Neurospora crassa OR74A: one gene and its partner. The protein of the gene in region 2 interacts with the protein of the main gene of each other region in a biochemical or structural test. Links are inferred from orthologs where the notes say so. Each region holds a gene or a part of one and is shown on either strand. Other genes may lie near its edges. The genes, in order: NCU07058 and NCU03808.

Evidence for each region.
Region 1: the proteins of NCU03808 (region 2) and NCU07058 form a complex in vitro, tested with the Saccharomyces cerevisiae proteins (3 studies listed by BioGRID). The link is inferred for Neurospora crassa OR74A from reciprocal best matches to the Saccharomyces cerevisiae genes ECM16 and UTP14.

What each region holds. Positions count from the first base shown.
Region 1 is NC_026506.1:332,037-335,916, forward strand, and holds the start of NCU07058 (small nucleolar ribonucleoprotein complex subunit Utp14), read right to left. Parts: upstream 2,897-3,880; 5' UTR 2,640-2,896; coding exon 72-2,639; intron 1-71. Other genes in the region: NCU07057 (hypothetical protein), read left to right, coding at 3,348-3,536, 3,677-3,799. UniProt on the Saccharomyces cerevisiae protein: Involved in nucleolar processing of pre-18S ribosomal RNA.
Region 2 is NC_026505.1:2,474,102-2,478,015, reverse strand, and holds the start of NCU03808 (pre-mRNA-splicing factor ATP-dependent RNA helicase PRP16), read right to left. Parts: upstream 2,452-3,914; 5' UTR 2,383-2,451; coding exon 1-2,382. Other genes in the region: NCU03807 (hypothetical protein), read left to right, coding at 2,856-3,008, 3,070-3,360. UniProt on the Saccharomyces cerevisiae protein: Probable ATP-binding RNA helicase. Required for 18S rRNA synthesis. May play a role in restructuring of the pre-rRNA.

The DNA of each region.
Region 1 (3,880 bases), on a different chromosome or scaffold from region 2:
GGACCAAAAAAAAAAAAAAAAAAAAAAAAAAAAAGGGGAAAAAAGGGGTAAAAATAAAAGGGGTAACAAACCTTCTTAACCCGTCCCTCCTTGATAATCACCCCCTTGAGCTTGAAATCCTTCCTCTTCTCCTTCTTGACGCCCTCCACCTTGGTGACGAACCGGCCTGTGTGCCTCTTCTTCTCGCGGTTGGAGATGCCCTCGCCTACCCAGCCGCCCCAGCCAGGAAGCGTGTTGTCGATCTCCTTGTCGTCGTCTTCCTTCTCCACTTCGGCCTTTTCGCGGTTAAAGTCGCCTACGACGTCCTCGCCTGCAAAGGCACGCTTGATGAGTTCTTGATCGCGGATGGCGAGGGGGAGATGGATCGTTTCTTCGTCGTCGGAAGAGGAGTCGTCGTGGGTGGTGGTGGCGGGAGCAGAGGACTTCTTGTCCTTGGCTGCTGCGGCGTCCTTGGACTTGGGCTTGGGCTTGGAGGCGAGCATGGCGGCGTTGGAGAGGTCCAACTCGCCGACGGAGACCTTGGCGGCCTTTTTGGTGCTCTTGCGACCTTCTTGGGGAGCCTTGGACCAGGCACCGGCGACGGAGGCGGCGAGGGAAGTGTCCTCGACTTGGGTGGTGGCTGCTTGTTGTGGTGTTACTTGGAGATTGGACATGTCGTTTGTGATGTTCTTCTTCTCCTTCTTCTTCTGAGCAGCCTGCTGGCCGGGGAGTATGATCTCCGTCTTGCCCATACCGAACTGCCTCCGACCGATGTCCGTCTCTTCGACATCGTCAGAGTCGTAGTCGGAATCGAGGTCTCGGCGAATCTGCGCAATCATCTCATCGTTCTCCTTCCTCTTCTGGGCTTCGCCGCGTTGCATGAACTTCATCTGCATCAGCCCCGACTCGACCTCGCCATCCGCGTAGGAAGCAGCGTGCTCGAGCTGTTCCAGCAACCGTTTCTTGTTCTTCTTCTCATCGCCAGACTCGGCAGAGTAATCGTCGGAACCACTGTCTTCAGAATCCTCCTCGCCCTTTCTGCGTCCCTCGATCCGGCGGCGCAGCTCCTCCTTCTGGCGAGCAGCCTCTGTCAACCCAGCGCGGAAGTTGTCGTCCCACACTGCGCGACCGGCCTTCTTGCCGAGCTTGGCCCACTTGCTGTCCCGGTGACGAGTACCGACGCGCTCGAGGGCTCGCCTCCTGTCCAGAGCCTCGCGCTCCTCTTCTGAATCAATCTCTCCCGCCTCAACCATGGCATCATGCATCTCCTGCTCGTCGTGGAGCAGCTCCTTGCGATGAATGCGACGGTACGCCTTGGACTTGATCTTCTTGATGCGCTTCTGGCGGGCCTGCTCGCGCGAGAACAGCTCACGCTCGCGGCGCTTCTGACGGGTGATTTCTTGCATCTCAGCGGCCGAGAGACCCTTGCGAGCGGCAATCTCCTCGACGTTATCCTGGTCCTCCTTCTTGGGCTTGTTAGTGGGTCCCAAGCCGGATTCCTCCATGATGGCCAAGATGGTCTGTTCGAGCTCGGTACCCGCCGTGGCCTTGGTCACGGGAAGGAGTTCTTGACTGTCGAGGCCGGCGTCGTGGGCATTTTGCGCGAGGGGGAAAACCAGGTGATCCGCACGGCGGTTGTGCTTGACTGTGTCGATCCAGCGCTCGAGCGTCTCGGAGGTCTTTTCGTAGGCGGCGGAGCGGAGGAGCTTGTCTTGTTGCCTCTTTGCGAGGGGGATGTCGAGCTTCTTGGATTGCCCAGGCTTGGCGGCCTTTTCCTCCTTGTTCATGAGCTTGAGAGACTTCTTCATGTGGGGGTCCTGGACGCCAAGGAGGCCGAGATCTGAGAGACTGAGTTTGTTTGTTGGTTTCGAGCCTGATTGCTCCTCGTCGTCGTTGTCGTCGCCCGCAAACCCGGAGATCATCTTTTGGAGGTCGTCGAGCTTGGAAGGGTCTTCCATATCGTCGTCACTGTCTTCGCTTTCGCTCGATTCGCTGTCCGCGTCGTCTTCCGATCCTGACTCCTCTTCGCCCTCCTCCTCCTCGCTGCTTTCATACTGATCCAGTGCTGTGGCGAGATCGATGGCGTCGGAACCGAGCGACTCCAAGTCATCGTCCTCATCTTCGTCCTCTTCCTCCTCATCACTGTCGTTTCCACCCTTCTTCGCCTTCTTGCCCTTCTTGTTGGAGCTGCTCCCGCTGAAGGCATAGCCATCGAACTTTTCCTCGTCGCTCTCACCAAAGGCCTCATCAGAGTCGAGTTCGGAATCTTCGTCATCAGCGCCTACACCAACGTGCCACTCCTCGCCATCGCTGTCCTCGCCACCGTCGGAGAAGCCTTCGAAATCGTCGCTGTTTTTGGCCTTCTTCTTTTGTGGCCTGGCGTCCTCGAGATCTTCCTCATCCTCGTCTCCGTCCTCATCGTCTTCGTCGTCGCCATCTCGTTGTCTCTTCTGGGGGCGCTCTTCGGGCTCGTCGAGGTCTCGTGTGCGGACGCCCTTGGCTTTCTTTTGGGGGACTTGTTCGGCGGCAATAGCGAAGGCGTCGAGGACGTTGTTTCTGGATTTCCTATCGGCAGTCTTGTTGTTGACTCTGTGCTTGGGACGCCCTCCGCCGCCCGACTTGGGCATTAGAGGCCTGCCGTGGGCTTGACGGCCGGGCATTTTGCTGGTATTTGAGAATTGACTGATTGGAAGTCGGAAGGTAATTCAGTCAATTAAGTTCGAGGTCGAGCAAGCAAAAATTGGGTGATGAGATTGTCGACGAAGTCCAGTGGTTGGATGGAATGAATCGATGGATGTCAATGTCCAACTTTTGCCTGCACGGGTCCTGGAGGTCGAAGTGGTCAGGTCCCTTCAACGGCAACTCCCACCAAGCCTTCAACTTTCTGCCAGTGAACAAGCTCCCCCGAAACTTTTTCTGCCGCCTCTGTAATCGATAATTTTCGGGCGGTGAGGGCGCAACACCCACCCATTTTGCGGGGCCGCAGCAGGCTACAGGGGTACCTGTTTCTCCCAGCCTCACGTCATTGGCTCAATTGAGCTCCAAACTTCTGAAATGGCTCCACCTCAACCCGGCGCGGCCCCGGACGTCTTTGCGATTTCTCGATTCCAACCCCGTCGCCCGTCGCCCGTTGCCCGTCGCCGTCCGTGTTGTCCAGCGCCAGTCCGAGTCCGAGTCCGAGTCCCGTCTCCGTTCCTGTCGCGTGCGCCGGATCTTCAACACTCTAAAGCGGATCCCGTCTCCGTCCCACTTGCGCCCACCTCAACCACCCTCACCACAGCGAGGTGCTTCCACCACCCAGATCACCGACCACAAAAAGCAATTCTCCGTCGTCGTTGCCCCGCAAAGCGCAATCCTCCTAGCCCACCATGCAGCCCACTCGCATCCTCCAAGGTCTCAAGTACCGCAAGTTGCGCCTGACCACCAAGGACGTCAACAAGGGTTTCTACAAGGGTAACCGCACCGGTTCCATGGGTACGCACACCAGCTACGGTACCTACAAGATCGACTACACCAAGGTCCGCACCTATGTGTGCCCGGACCTGACCGGTTTCAAGGTGGGTGGTCCTCTATTTCCGTCCGGGTTTGGGGTTGGAATGGGATGTGTTGGGGGATCTGGTGCTAGGGGAGGGACCGAGAATGGAGGACAAAAGAGAATAAAAAAGAATTATGCTAACAAGATCCAACAACAACAAAGCTCACCCCCTTCGTCTCCAAGACCATCCGCCCCGTCCACGACCAGTTCCCCGGCGACAAGCTCGGCCCCAAGAACCCCGCCACTTACCTTGCTCGCTGGAAGTCGGAGAACGGTCTCGACTAAACGGTCGTCATTTTTTCAAGGAGGGAGGAGGAGGACATTACGATACCAGACCACGGCGAGGAAATGGAGCGAGGCTCACTC
Region 2 (3,914 bases):
ACTCTGGACGCCACTGACAGGATCGAACTTTCTCTCCTTCGACCTTCCAGTGTCGAAAACGTACTTGATGCCGGGAATTGTCAAGGATGTTTCAGCGACGTTGGTAGCCAGGATGACGAGACGGTGGCCCTCTGGGGGCGGCTCAAACACCTTCATCTGCTCTTTCGTGGGGAGCAAAGAGAAGAGAGGTAGGATATGCATCTTCAATGGCCCTGTACCAGATTCTTGGTCCTCAATCTCGAACTCCTTGTCTTCCTCCTCGTCCGACGCAATGGAGATATCGTCATCGTCTCTGTCGTTGATGTTACGGTCATCCTCAACGTCGCCAAAGTCGATGTCTTCGACTTCCATGGGTGCCTCCTTCGCAGAAATCCGCACCTTGGTGGTGCTGGCGGTGTTCATACCGCCACCAAAACGCGCCTTCAACCGCTTGCTGAGCTGGGCAATTTCACCCTGACCGGTCATGAACACAAGCATGCCACCAGGGGGCAGTTTCCTGTGGCCCCTGCAAATCTTGCGGAATGCCTCATCAACGTAGTCGTGGTTTGTCTTTTTGGCAAAATGCATGGTAACAGCATGCTCACGGCCTTCTACCTCAATGATGCGAGGAGTGGTGTGGAACAAGTTAGAGTTTTGGGTGAATTCCTCAACCCTGAGGGTGGCGGACATGATGATCAGCTTGAGAGGCTTGATCGTGGGGTCTTCCTCCGCCAACTCTCTCCTAAGCTTGACCACTCTGCTGAGCATCGCAATCAGGATATCGGTATTGACGCTTCTCTCGTGGGCTTCATCAATGATGATGGCAGAGTACTTGCGAAGAGCAATATCGATGGCCGCCTCACGAAGCAAGACACCATCCGTCATGAACTTGATGGCCGTCTTGGAGTCAACGGTGCCTTCGAATCTGATTTGGTAGGAAACCACATGTGAATAGTCTCCCATTTCTTCGCCAACACGCTTCGACATACTGACAGCAGCGACACGTCTCGGCTGGGTGACACCAATCATGCCAGGAGTAGGTCCATCCGGAACACCGTAACCGGACTCGAAGAGGAACTGGGGAACCTGCGTGGTCTTGCCGGAACCGGTGGCACCGCAAATGATGACAATGTCGTTGTCGTGAATGGCCTCCATAATCTTCTGTTCCTCTGCAACAACCGGTAACCTGAAACGAGTTTCCTGGATCTCGGGTGTCCTGGTAACTACCACGGCGAAAGCCTTGCGGGAATCGTTCTTTGTTGGTTGCAGCTCGATAGGCAGAGGCTCTTGTTCGATCGGCCGAGGCGTAAAGTTGGCAGGTTTCGGTATCTCGAGAATGCTTGATTCAGCAGGCTTGTAACCCAAAGCTTCGTTCCTCGCCTGATGCGCCCAAGCCTTGAAGGCTGAAGACTTTGCTTTCTTGTCCTCCTCGGCGTCCTCCATGTCCTCGTCGGATTCTTCCGCAGAATCATCGTCTTCTGAATCATCTTCGGAACCCTCTCCGTTCTCTTCAGATCCATCCTCTTCTCCCGATTCCTCCTCCTCCTCTTCACTGCCTTCTTCCTCGCTGCCTGAACCACTACCCTCAGACTCTTCATCGTCTGAACCCTCTTCGCCCTCCGAACTGAAACCGTCCCATTCTACCACTTCCGGCACAGGAATGACTGCGGGAGCTTGCGATGATGTAAAGTTGTGCTTCGTTTTCACACCTCCTCTCTTTTGTCTCTTGGCAAGTATTGGGCGTCCTGACTCGTCGACCTCTAAGGGGCGCTTGAGACCAGCACCGACAGGTACTGGCAGGCTTGTTGACGATGTCGTCGCTTGTACTGGTGTAGGCTCGCTTGTTTCCGCTGGCGCGCTCCTTGGCTTCTCGGCTGCCGAGTCCTGCTCATCTTCCGAGCCCTCTGAATCCTCGTCGACCGTGGGTTTAGGCTTTGGTACTGGTGCACCTTCCTTCACCTCTCGCTTTTCGTAAAGTTTCTTGGCCGCCTCCTTCTCTGTTATAAGTCCAGCTTTTGCTTCCTTGACAAGCCGGCTGAGCTCCTCCTTTTTGGTCAATTTTGTTTGGCCTAGTGATTTTGTGCTTGAGAATAGGGAGGTGTCGATCTTGTTGGCGGCAAGCTTGGCCAGGAGTTCGCGGTTCTCGTCCTTCTTGAGCTTTGTGTCGATGTACTTTTCGAGTCTCTTGGCCTTCTTGCTGCTGACCTTGACACCCGCAGGCCTCAATTCCTCCCGTAGCTCGGTCTTCTTCTTTTCGGCATCCGTGGTGGTTTCCTGTCCAGGAGCGATCTCGAGGACGTTGGTGTCTTCGGGGTCTTGTGTTCCCTTACTCCTCGACCGCTGGCGATCAAGCTGCTTGCGCTTGCGCTGACGCGGCACGAACTTCCCGTCTATGACAGCCATGTTGTTGTTTTATCGGGTGTGCTCGAGGCGAGCAGTGACGGCAGAAATGAGGGCCGGTGTCGCGACGGCAGAATGCAACGAACTGAAAGTCACCAAGTACCCTGAAGATTTGAAGATTAAATCTTGTCCGCCTGGCAGAATTTCTGCGCTAAATGTGGCACCCCACGTTTTGGGGGCCTGTGAGGGTCCAGGACAGCAACTGAAGTAACCCAGCTACAGTGCGCGTACAGTTTGCTATGTTTCGTGGGTCCATCCTGAACTCTGCAGCCCAGCCCACTCCGGCTCCATCAACAAACATCACGATGGAGTCCCGCGTCTAAACTCTGAATATGAACGCAGTAGAGACATCAGAGAGTACTATCCGACCAGGAGTACAGAAGCCGAAGTTATCCCCCTACGGTCTTATCCTTTGAAACACACGCGGTTTTTCGAGTCTTGCAACTGTCCATACTTCACCACATCCAGAACTCACCATGTCTGAGGACGCAGTCAGGCAAGAGCCATTCCCGTCACCTTCCAGGCAGGCAACTGGGCTTGTCAACGGAGTGGAAACTGAGGTTTCATCAATGAACTTCTCGGACAAGATCATGGTCACCATTTCTCAAGGTGGGCGCCTTGCTCAGTGGGTAGGTTCAAGAGCGCCCGAACGCCATCCCACTTACAGTCTACTAACATACCATGTTCTAGGTCCAAGTACAACTAGCCGCACCTTCTTCCGCGTCAGTAGACATGGCTCTGCCTGGCGCCGGTAGCCTGTTACCATCAGAACATTTAACAGCAACGACTCTTCTTGGAGGTGGAAATGCGGAGAGGGAGACCATGGGCCAGCTTTATGCCAGTCAAATTGCCAGTCTCCTGACTTTGCGCAACCCCAATGAGCAGCGGTCTTTGTTGCTTGGTTTGGGCCTGGAGAAGGTCGACACCACTACTAGTGACTCCTTCTATGACGTGGTCGAGTTGGTACAACAAGTCCTCTAATAGTAAATGTCATGGAGTGAACGATATCTCGCAGTAACAAGTTCGAGTTGAGGCTATCGCGATGAGCAGTTCTGGTGAAGCGGGGAGTAGAAACCAAATGTGTGGTTATCGGGAATGAGCATGTTCGCAACTCGGTGGATGTGGTCGGCTGAGAAGATGTAAGTGAGGGCTGGTCTGTCTTAAGGCAGGTTCTGGGAAGACAGGGGAACGATGGCTGGGCTGCTGGCCAGTTTAATCCTAGAGATGTAGAACACAGAACAATGGAGGGCAGTGAGCCCGATCTTGCAGCAACACAAAAGATGTGTGTCAAACGAAAAGCGACTCCAGGCAGATCGACAATTTCGAGCAAGGATCCAAACAGGATGATAGGATGATAGGATGATGTTGAAGGCAAGAGGGGCTCAAGTGGACGAGCTGAGGGACAAGGCTTAGCCATAGACCCTAACCCTGCTTGATGAAGCGGAAATATGTGGCTTGTCGAGCTGGTAGGCTGGCCTTGGCACACAGCAATTGCAGCGAGAGGAACGGTGTGGCTTGAGTGCGTGGTGCGGCTC